Callithrix jacchus: one gene and its partner. The protein of the gene in region 2 interacts with the protein of the main gene of each other region in a biochemical or structural test. Links are inferred from orthologs where the notes say so. Each region holds a gene or a part of one and is shown on either strand. Other genes may lie near its edges.

Region 1 (4,352 bases), on a different chromosome or scaffold from region 2:
AACTGCTCAGTGATCATCAGGCAGCCTGGGCGGAGACCATTCGTGGGACAGGATACGAGGGCAGGAATCAGGAACTGGAGCCCCGGCTGCCAGGAAGTCAGTCCTCTTCCCTCCCAGCTTTCTGTGCTCGGCTCACCGCTTCCTCACACCTTCCTTCCTTCCTGCCTCCCTCTCCTTCCAAGCTGGCCCCCGGCACAACCCTGACAAAGGTCAAACCAACTGAGGATGCTGGGGAAGAGGGGCAGGAGGTAAGGATCATCATATACTGACCTTTTAGGGTGGGGCAGGTGGGAGCTCCATGGGCACTGGGGTAAGAAGAGCTGGGCCCTGCCAGTGCTTTGAGAAGCCTGGCAATTGGGATAACCACCTGTGGAGGAGGCGGCAGCACGAAAAGAATTTCTGTGCCTTTTGACAATAGGTGGTGGTAGATTATCCCTTCTCTCTAATGTTTGGTTCCAAATCCTCTGTGAATTTGAGAAGGAAGCCTGAAGATTAGGAGTTGCACCCCTCCCTCCTCCACATCTGTTGCAGCTGCCTCAGGCTGAGGGGAGGGGCCATCCCACCCCTCAGCTAGAGGTCCCTGTATTGGGCAGGAGGGGACTTCCAGGCACTCAAGTCTGTCAGTCTTTTGCCTGAAGCTGGAAGTAATCACGAGAGGCAGAGGGGTTGGAAGGGAGAGAGTAGGGGTTCAGCTTTCCTATTTTAAATTATACCTGGGCCCCAAATTAAAGCAGTCCTATAGTTTATTTTCTTTAATATCATACTTAATTGATTTATTCTTTAAGCTTTTATCCAGCTTTACTGGGGGGCTGTCTTTATTCCTGTAACAAGGAAATTGGGGGTTCTCAGGCTCGAGGGTCAGCCTGGAAGTGAGGAGAGGCAGGACCCCTGGGCTCCCAAATGTTCACTTCAGTCCAAGAAGGAACATGGATTACCTGTGGGCATGGGGACAGGGATTAGCCTTCAGCCCTTAGTCTAGAGAAGAGCCAGACCCAGGATGGGGCATCAGGAGGAAGGGAATGGGGCCTATGACTCTCCCAGCCCACCTCTCTCTCCGCTCTTCTGCTCTGGCCCTCCCTGCCTCTATTTCCGTTTCTCTCCATCTCCCTTCATCATCCATATCCTTTCCCCCTAATCCTTCAGTCTCTCTATTCCTCCTTTCCTTTCTATAGGCTTTTACCCCTTCTAGCATGTCCTACTCACCTATCCAACTTAGCAGTAGCCATGAATATGTAGGACTTCTGAGATCTGTGCTTTCCCATCTGAATACTCAGAGCTACAATTAGGAAGGGGTGAGCATCCCTGCTACACAAAACACAAGTTTGGTGGGAGTGGCCTGGAGATTCAGTGGTTGGCTGCCTACCAGCTGGTGAAGATATCCATCGTGACACTGCGCATGAGGATCTGTGAGGGTCCGTGTGAGTGAGGCGCTGTGATTCCGTGACCCTCTTCATACATGATAATACATGCATACACGACAGGCACGGAAGTGAGGAAGTAGGCGACCAGGGAAGCCTGCAGCCTGGGGCATCACTGGCAATTTCCCCAATGGAGTATTTAACTACAAAGGGAAGCGCAATTAAAGCTAATCGCTCTGACAGCCTGGGGCCCAGACACACAAACCTCTTTCCCTAACTCCCAGTGGTTCCCCCCACCTTCACCCTCCCTAATGTGTTTAGTCCATTCTCCAGCACTCTTTGCACTTCTCTGACCATCTCCGTCTCTCACTTCCTCCCTCTCCCTGGTTCCCTGACTATCTCTGGACCTCTCTGGAGATGTCTGTCTGCTTCTCACACACATTCCTCTCATTCTCTCTGACTTGGGCTCCATTCTTGGCTGACTCATACTCATTTTCCTCTCCATTTCTTCCACCCCCTCCTCCTCCATCCCTTGGCCACTCTTACCCAGAAACTAGCCACTCCCAGCACCCTAAACCCTAACTGGACCCAGGAAGAGAGGCCACCAGAAGCCCCTACTCTCATTAGCCCCCAAAATCCTGTCTCCTTGTTTTAGAGGAATGATACTAAGATTTTCTCCTATCTTTCCCCACTGTTTTTAAAGAGGAACAATCTGCAGCCAGGGGCTGGGAAAAGCTGTCAGAAAATCAGGATGGACTTGGGGACAGTGGCCCTTTCTGTCCACTCAGCTGTCCTGCTGGACTGATGACTTGGAACCCGCAGTTCAGAAGACTCCTCGTGGGATGCCCCACCCCACAGAGTGGGGGTGTGGTGGGTGGCCGGATGCGTAGTGCAGGGACGTTTGTGATTTGAAGTGTGCTAGACGATGTGTATAAGTCACATGGCTGTGTGTCACTGTGTGTGCTGGCGTGCCTTATAGGTGTGCGTGTTTCCTTGTCAGTTTTGACACGGATTCTATGAAATTAATAAGGGTTTTTCCGTTAGATACATCACTCCTCTACACCCCCAGCTCCTCCTTCCCTCTGGACAAGCTTTCCGCCAAGCCCACCTCTACCCCAGCTGCAGCGGGCCGGGGGTGAGGGCACACGGTACCAGCCGTCCGCGGAACCGAGACAGGGCTGGGCCGAGAGACCGCCAGGGAGGCGAGTCCGAAGCCAGGGCGGGGAGGGAGGGGCGGGCGCCGGCCTGGCCGAGCCGGCTGGGCGGGAAGCAGGCTGCATCCTAATCCCCAGGCCCCGGTCCGACTCCCGAGCCGCAGCTCAGCGTGGCCGGGCTGGCCGGAGCCACGCCGCCTCCAGCACACGCTCGGCGCTCGGGACGCACCGACCACGGGACGGACCCCGTGGGGCCTGACTGACACAGGCGGACCCGTCCGGGGTCCCCGCGCTCCCCGTCCGGCCCCCGGTGTCCCGGGTCGTCGCCCCTCCAAGCCGAGACCTCCACATCTGCCCCTTCCCGCAACACGTCTCCTCCCCGCCCCTCTCACCGCCTCTGGAGCTGAGCGCTCAGGGCGCGGGCACTCCTGAGTCCCCGGTTCCCGAGCAGCGTCCGGAACCTCCTCTTCGGCTCCCGCCGCCGCCGCCGCCGCCGCCGCTTCAGCCGCCGCCGCCGCCGCCTCTTCCGCCCGCGGAGCCCGAGCCCGAGCCCAGCGCCGCTCACTCCACCCGGCTGGCCGGTGATGTCAGAGCCGGGGAGGGGCGGGGGGCGGGGAATGGCGTGGGGGGGGGGAGGGGGGAGGCAGGAGGGGGCGGGGGACCGAGGGGCTGGGGTTCTGGAAGACTCCTAGGATGGGGACAGAATTGGGCGGAGGGCTGGAGCACAGGCGGACTCTTCCCCCTGAACTGCGAAGCAATCCTCATATTTAATTCCTTCCCAGCAGGGCACCCTACTCCCCTTTTGACCTTTGGATGACCACGGTGGCTAGGACCCCTGGGAAGCACAGAATAAGTTCAGTTAAGGGGTTTGGAAAGCCTTTGGGGACTGGATTCTCTTAGTTGCCGGCTTTGGTATTTGTAAAAACTTCTTTCCTTGCCTTAAGGGTCAGGGGCGCCGTGGTAAATGACTGATCAGACTTATCCACGTTGGGAGTGAAGGTAGGGGGGTCCGGGCCACATAGGGACTTGAGGAGCCCTGGATCTTCTCTTTCCAGGGTGATGCCTGCAGGGCCTCTTGTGTTCCTCTCACCTTTCCCAAACATGCCCCACTCCTGCCTTCCCCCTACCATGATGTAATTTTATTTTCTGGGGAGAAAAAGAGCAGCAGTGAGCTCAGCATGCAAATATAGACAACTTGCAGAGCCACACTTAGCTCCGTCTCCTAGTTCTGCCCCTCTGCCCAGGCCCACTGTGGCAGCTCTCACTTCCCCTCTACCCCAGGGACTTTCCTCCCCCAGACTCTCAGCCAGATTGAAAGAGGAAAGGGAGAATTGGAGAAGCATCTGTTTTCACCCTCATCTCTAGCCTAAGGGGTTCTGCCTCAGCTCTGGGCAGGGTTTGGCCCTGGAAATAATTCTGTCCCGGGGTGGGTCTTTCCTGCCAAGAACTCCAGCAGGCCCAGGTTGGGGGATCCTCTCAGTGTTTGTGCCACTTACAGGATCACCCCATCTCGCCTTAGTTTCAACCTGGTGGAGACTCCTCCAGAAACCTCCGATGAGCCCCTCCTTTCTCTGGTCCACACCACTCCTAGAAGAGGCTCAAGTTCCTGCTGCTGTGGGCTTCACAGCCTTTCTCTGCCGTTTCCTCTCCCTAGCATTCCCTGGCACACCGTAATCATTTGCCTTTGTATATATCGTGTTTGCTCAAAAGCTATTTCCTTGTAGTTTCTAAGTGAAAGGCTCGGGTCTGGAGACAACAAGACACTGGGCCTTGGGTGTGTGCTAGCTCCACCCCTTCCTTGGACAAGTTATACCTGAAGCCTTAGCGTCCTCGCTGGTCA
Region 2 (3,811 bases):
AGCTTTATGTATACATCTCTTGCAAACAGAGTAGGAGCCAACTCCAATATCTTCTTTTACTTCATATCCATCAGTAAACTGAATACTGTTCCTGTGTAACTGCTACAAAAAATTATAAATTGGTGAAGAGTCCCATAATACCTTTAGTGCATTTTATAATAGGGAAGAATGTTACTCAGCATGCATTGTTGACGCTCTACATATAAATGAGTAAGAATAAATACATCTTTATAGTACTTATTCTTCTATAAGTGATTTTGGAAGTGTTTACTAATGAAATGTACAGGAAGAAATGTGCCTTAAAAAAGCTTATGTTAAAAATAAAAATTGAATTTGCACAATAGAAAAAGCAGAGCTACTTGATGTGAGACCTATATCCTTGTCTGTGATTCAGCCTCATTCCACTTCTGAATTGGCTATAAGTTTTCAAGCACCTTTGCAAATGAGAGGTTTGAAACCTATGTATAGAAGAAAAGGATTTAAGAGGATTCAGAATTAGAACATCTGAATTCTTGTCTCAGATGTACCACTTACAGGCTGTGTAACTTTGAGCCTGTATTTTCTCAGAGAGTAATGCTGAAGATTAAATAAAACAATGTATTTGCAAGCAATACTTATTAGCGCATTTTGGACTTTCAGTAGCCACACCCTCCCTTCTTCACCCTGAAGTCATAGCTTTATACAATTTCTGCTAAAGAAGCTGGTCATGGGTTAGGGACTAATAACATATACAGCAGATGATAAACAGCAACTTACTGATTCCATAAACAGGCTGAGGAAAGTTGTGCTGCCCTTTGCTATACTGATATGAGACCTCCATGCCCATGAGCTTTGTATACTATGCATTAAAACTTGAATTCTGTAGAATATACAAGTTTGTGGTTTCTATGTTAGGTACAGAATTTATAATTTAAAAAGTTGCCATACATTCATGTGCTTGCATAGTGAATGGCACAGACTATTCCAACATGAGCTCTGCTTAAAAACCAGTGTTTTAATTGGTTTTCTACAAAGTGGAAAGCAGCGTAACTGACTCATGAAAAATCTTTAGAGCAAAAGCAACTTAATCATCAAGCAAATCCAAGTACAAATTATATACTAAAAACAATCCACTGCTTCAAAACATATATCTAGTTCCCTTTGATTAGAAAGATGACTTAAGATTTGAGTTCATTTTTATTTCTTGTATCTTTCTAAGGCAAACATTGCCAAACTATGGTCACTGAGCCAAATCTGATTTATTGCCTGTGTGTGTAAATAAAGTTTTATTGGCACACAGCCATGTCCACTTAATTATGTATTGTCTGCAGCTTCTTTGTGCTACATAGCAGAGTTGAGTAGTTGTGACAGAGCCCATATAGCCCACAAAGCCTCAAATATAATCTGACCCTTCACAGAGAAAGTCTGCTGACCCCTGTTCTAAGGCATCAAAGAACCAGAAGACCTCAATTCACCATAGCTGACCTGATGGAGGCAAAGGGTGAAACAAACTCAGCATGAAAAACATTTTGAGGCACAGGAGAGGACATAAATAAAACAGCTCAACTCTATTTTCAAGTGACATAGGTATCTAGGATTTTGGCTCTTGCAACCTTTTCGATGATAAATGAAAAAAATTTCAAAGAGTAAAGTTAATGATATAAAATGAATTCTATTTTATTTTATTTTTTGAGACAGAGTTTCAACTCTGTCACCCAGGCTGGAGTGCAGTGGTGCAATCTCTGCTCACTGCAACCTCCGCCTCCCAGGTTCAAGTGATTCTTGTGCCTCAGCCTCCTGAGTACCCAGAATTACAGGTGTGCGCCACCACGTCCAATTCATTTTTGTATTTTCAGTAGAGATGAGGGTTTTACCATATTGGCCAGGCTGGTCTCAAACTCCTGACCTCAAGTGATCCACCTACCTTGGCCTCCCAAAATGGTGGGATTACAAGTGTGAGCCATTGCACCCAGTCTAAAATGTATTTTAAATTGCTCATTTAAAGTCAGCAGAAAAAAATCTAATTATTCACAGAATGAACTATATCTTACAACATTCCAAATCTAAAATTATTTAGACATCCACTCACCTGAACAATTGAATGTACACCAACTGTCTGCATAGCTTGGCTTTCATCGTCTGAGGTAATAGCAACAAAACTAAACCCCCGAAAAAGCTGATGTGCATTAGCACTAGGTGGAATGCCAGGTGAATCTGAAAAGAGTAAGAAGTGACAAGATTCATTTGAAAGGTAACTAAGGGAAAAACTGTTGACACTATGACCTTTTTCACTTATTCTGGAATTCTGTTTCTCAGGTACACAGTATATACCTCTTGCTTTCCAGGATACCTGTGAGGTACTGTATCAGATCTTTTCTGATTGTGTATTGCCATTACAACACCAACATCCTAGTCCCTTGGAGCCTAGAAAATAGCTAATTCATTTGAAGAATTAATTGATGAATTATAGGGTTAATGATATTCAAAATTAATGCTGTCCCATGGAATTTCCTGAAATGATGGAAATTTTATCTTTACAGTCTAATATGATAGCCACTAGCTTCATGCAGCTTTTTGACATTTGAAATGTGCCTAGTGTGACTGAGAAACTACATTTTAAATTTTAATTAATTTAAATTTAATTAGCTACATGTGGCTACTGGCTACCATTTTAGACACTGCGGCCCTCAATAATAACCCAGCTGGGGTGGAACAGGGGAGACAAGGTGGATCTACAGCAAATTTAGGAGATTTGAAGATAGCATAAAGGTTATCCTGGAAAAGGTTTGCATTTTTTCTTTTTGAGACCGAGTGCAACTCTGTCACCCAGGCTGGAGTGCAGTGGTGTGATTTTGATGCACTGCAACCTCCACCTCCCGGGTTCAAGGGATTCTCGTACTTCAGCCACCCAAGTAGCCAGGATTGCAGGCGCATGCCATCAAACCCGGCTAATTTTTATATTTTAGTAGAGACAGAGTTTCACTATGTTGGCCAGGCTGGTCTCGAACTCCTGGCCTCAAGCAATCCGCCTGCCTGGCCTTCTTCCCAAAGTGCTGGGGTTACAGACGTGAGCCACTGTGCCCAGAGTCTGGAAAAGATTTTCTGATTGAACAAGAAAAAAAATATATTTGTTATCTTATATCTGTATTTTCACATTTTCTCCTTACCTTTTGGAGTTTTTGCAGTAAACTCAGGATCAAAATAGAATGTATCTTCAGGCCTACCCGTTGCAGGTTTAAATGGTGGATGAATTTCTCTTCTATACAGTTTCTGGAGGAAAAAAAAGAGACTTAGATATATTTTAATTCTAATGAAATATTTCAAGCAAGTTTTCATTCTATACTTACATTCCAGTCTATTGTTGAGAAAAATGAATGCCTTTTAATTTCTTCAACTCCATCTGGTCCTGCACCTATCAAAAATGGATTCATTGGTAATTTTATCTCAAGGAGAAATATACATATTGTTCAGCCTTTGCTTTCAATACTTGCCTAATTAATTAGTTACTTTTGAGACAAGGGCTTGCTCTATCATCCAGGCTGGAGTGCAGTGGTGTAATCTCAGCTTACTGCAGCCTCAACCTCTCAGGCTCAAGCGATCCTCCTACCTCAACCTCCTGAGTAGCTGGGACTACAGGTGCACACAACCAGGCCTGGCTAATTTTTGTATTTTTTGTAAAGACAGGGTTTCGCCATGTTGCCCAGACTGGTCTTGAACTCCTGGATTCAAGTAATTCTCCCACCTTGGTCTCTCAAAGTGCTAAGATTACAGGCATGAGCCACCATGCCTAGCTTTGTCTAAATAGTTAATCTTCCACCATAAAACAAATATC

What was found.
Region 1: the proteins of RPS6KA3 (region 2) and PEA15 form a complex in vitro, tested with the Homo sapiens proteins (2 studies listed by BioGRID). The link is inferred for Callithrix jacchus from reciprocal best matches to the Homo sapiens genes RPS6KA3 and PEA15.

The regions. Positions count from the first base shown.
Region 1 is NC_133519.1:20,158,174-20,162,525, reverse strand, and holds the start of PEA15 (astrocytic phosphoprotein PEA-15), read right to left. Parts: upstream 3,054-4,352; 5' UTR 2,905-3,053; intron 1,562-2,904; 5' UTR 1,473-1,561; coding exon 1,364-1,472; exon of another isoform or gene 1,204-1,363; intron 465-1,203; exon of another isoform or gene 271-464; intron 1-270. UniProt on the Homo sapiens protein: Blocks Ras-mediated inhibition of integrin activation and modulates the ERK MAP kinase cascade. Inhibits RPS6KA3 activities by retaining it in the cytoplasm. Inhibits both TNFRSF6- and TNFRSF1A-mediated CASP8 activity and apoptosis.
Region 2 is NC_133524.1:20,690,947-20,694,757, forward strand, and holds part of RPS6KA3 (ribosomal protein S6 kinase alpha-3), read right to left. Parts: intron 3,392-3,811; coding exon 3,327-3,391; intron 3,250-3,326; coding exon 3,147-3,249; intron 2,194-3,146; coding exon 2,069-2,193; intron 103-2,068; coding exon 1-102. UniProt on the Homo sapiens protein: Serine/threonine-protein kinase that acts downstream of ERK (MAPK1/ERK2 and MAPK3/ERK1) signaling and mediates mitogenic and stress-induced activation of the transcription factors CREB1, ETV1/ER81 and NR4A1/NUR77, regulates translation through RPS6 and EIF4B phosphorylation, and mediates cellular proliferation, survival, and differentiation by modulating mTOR signaling and repressing pro-apoptotic function of BAD and DAPK1.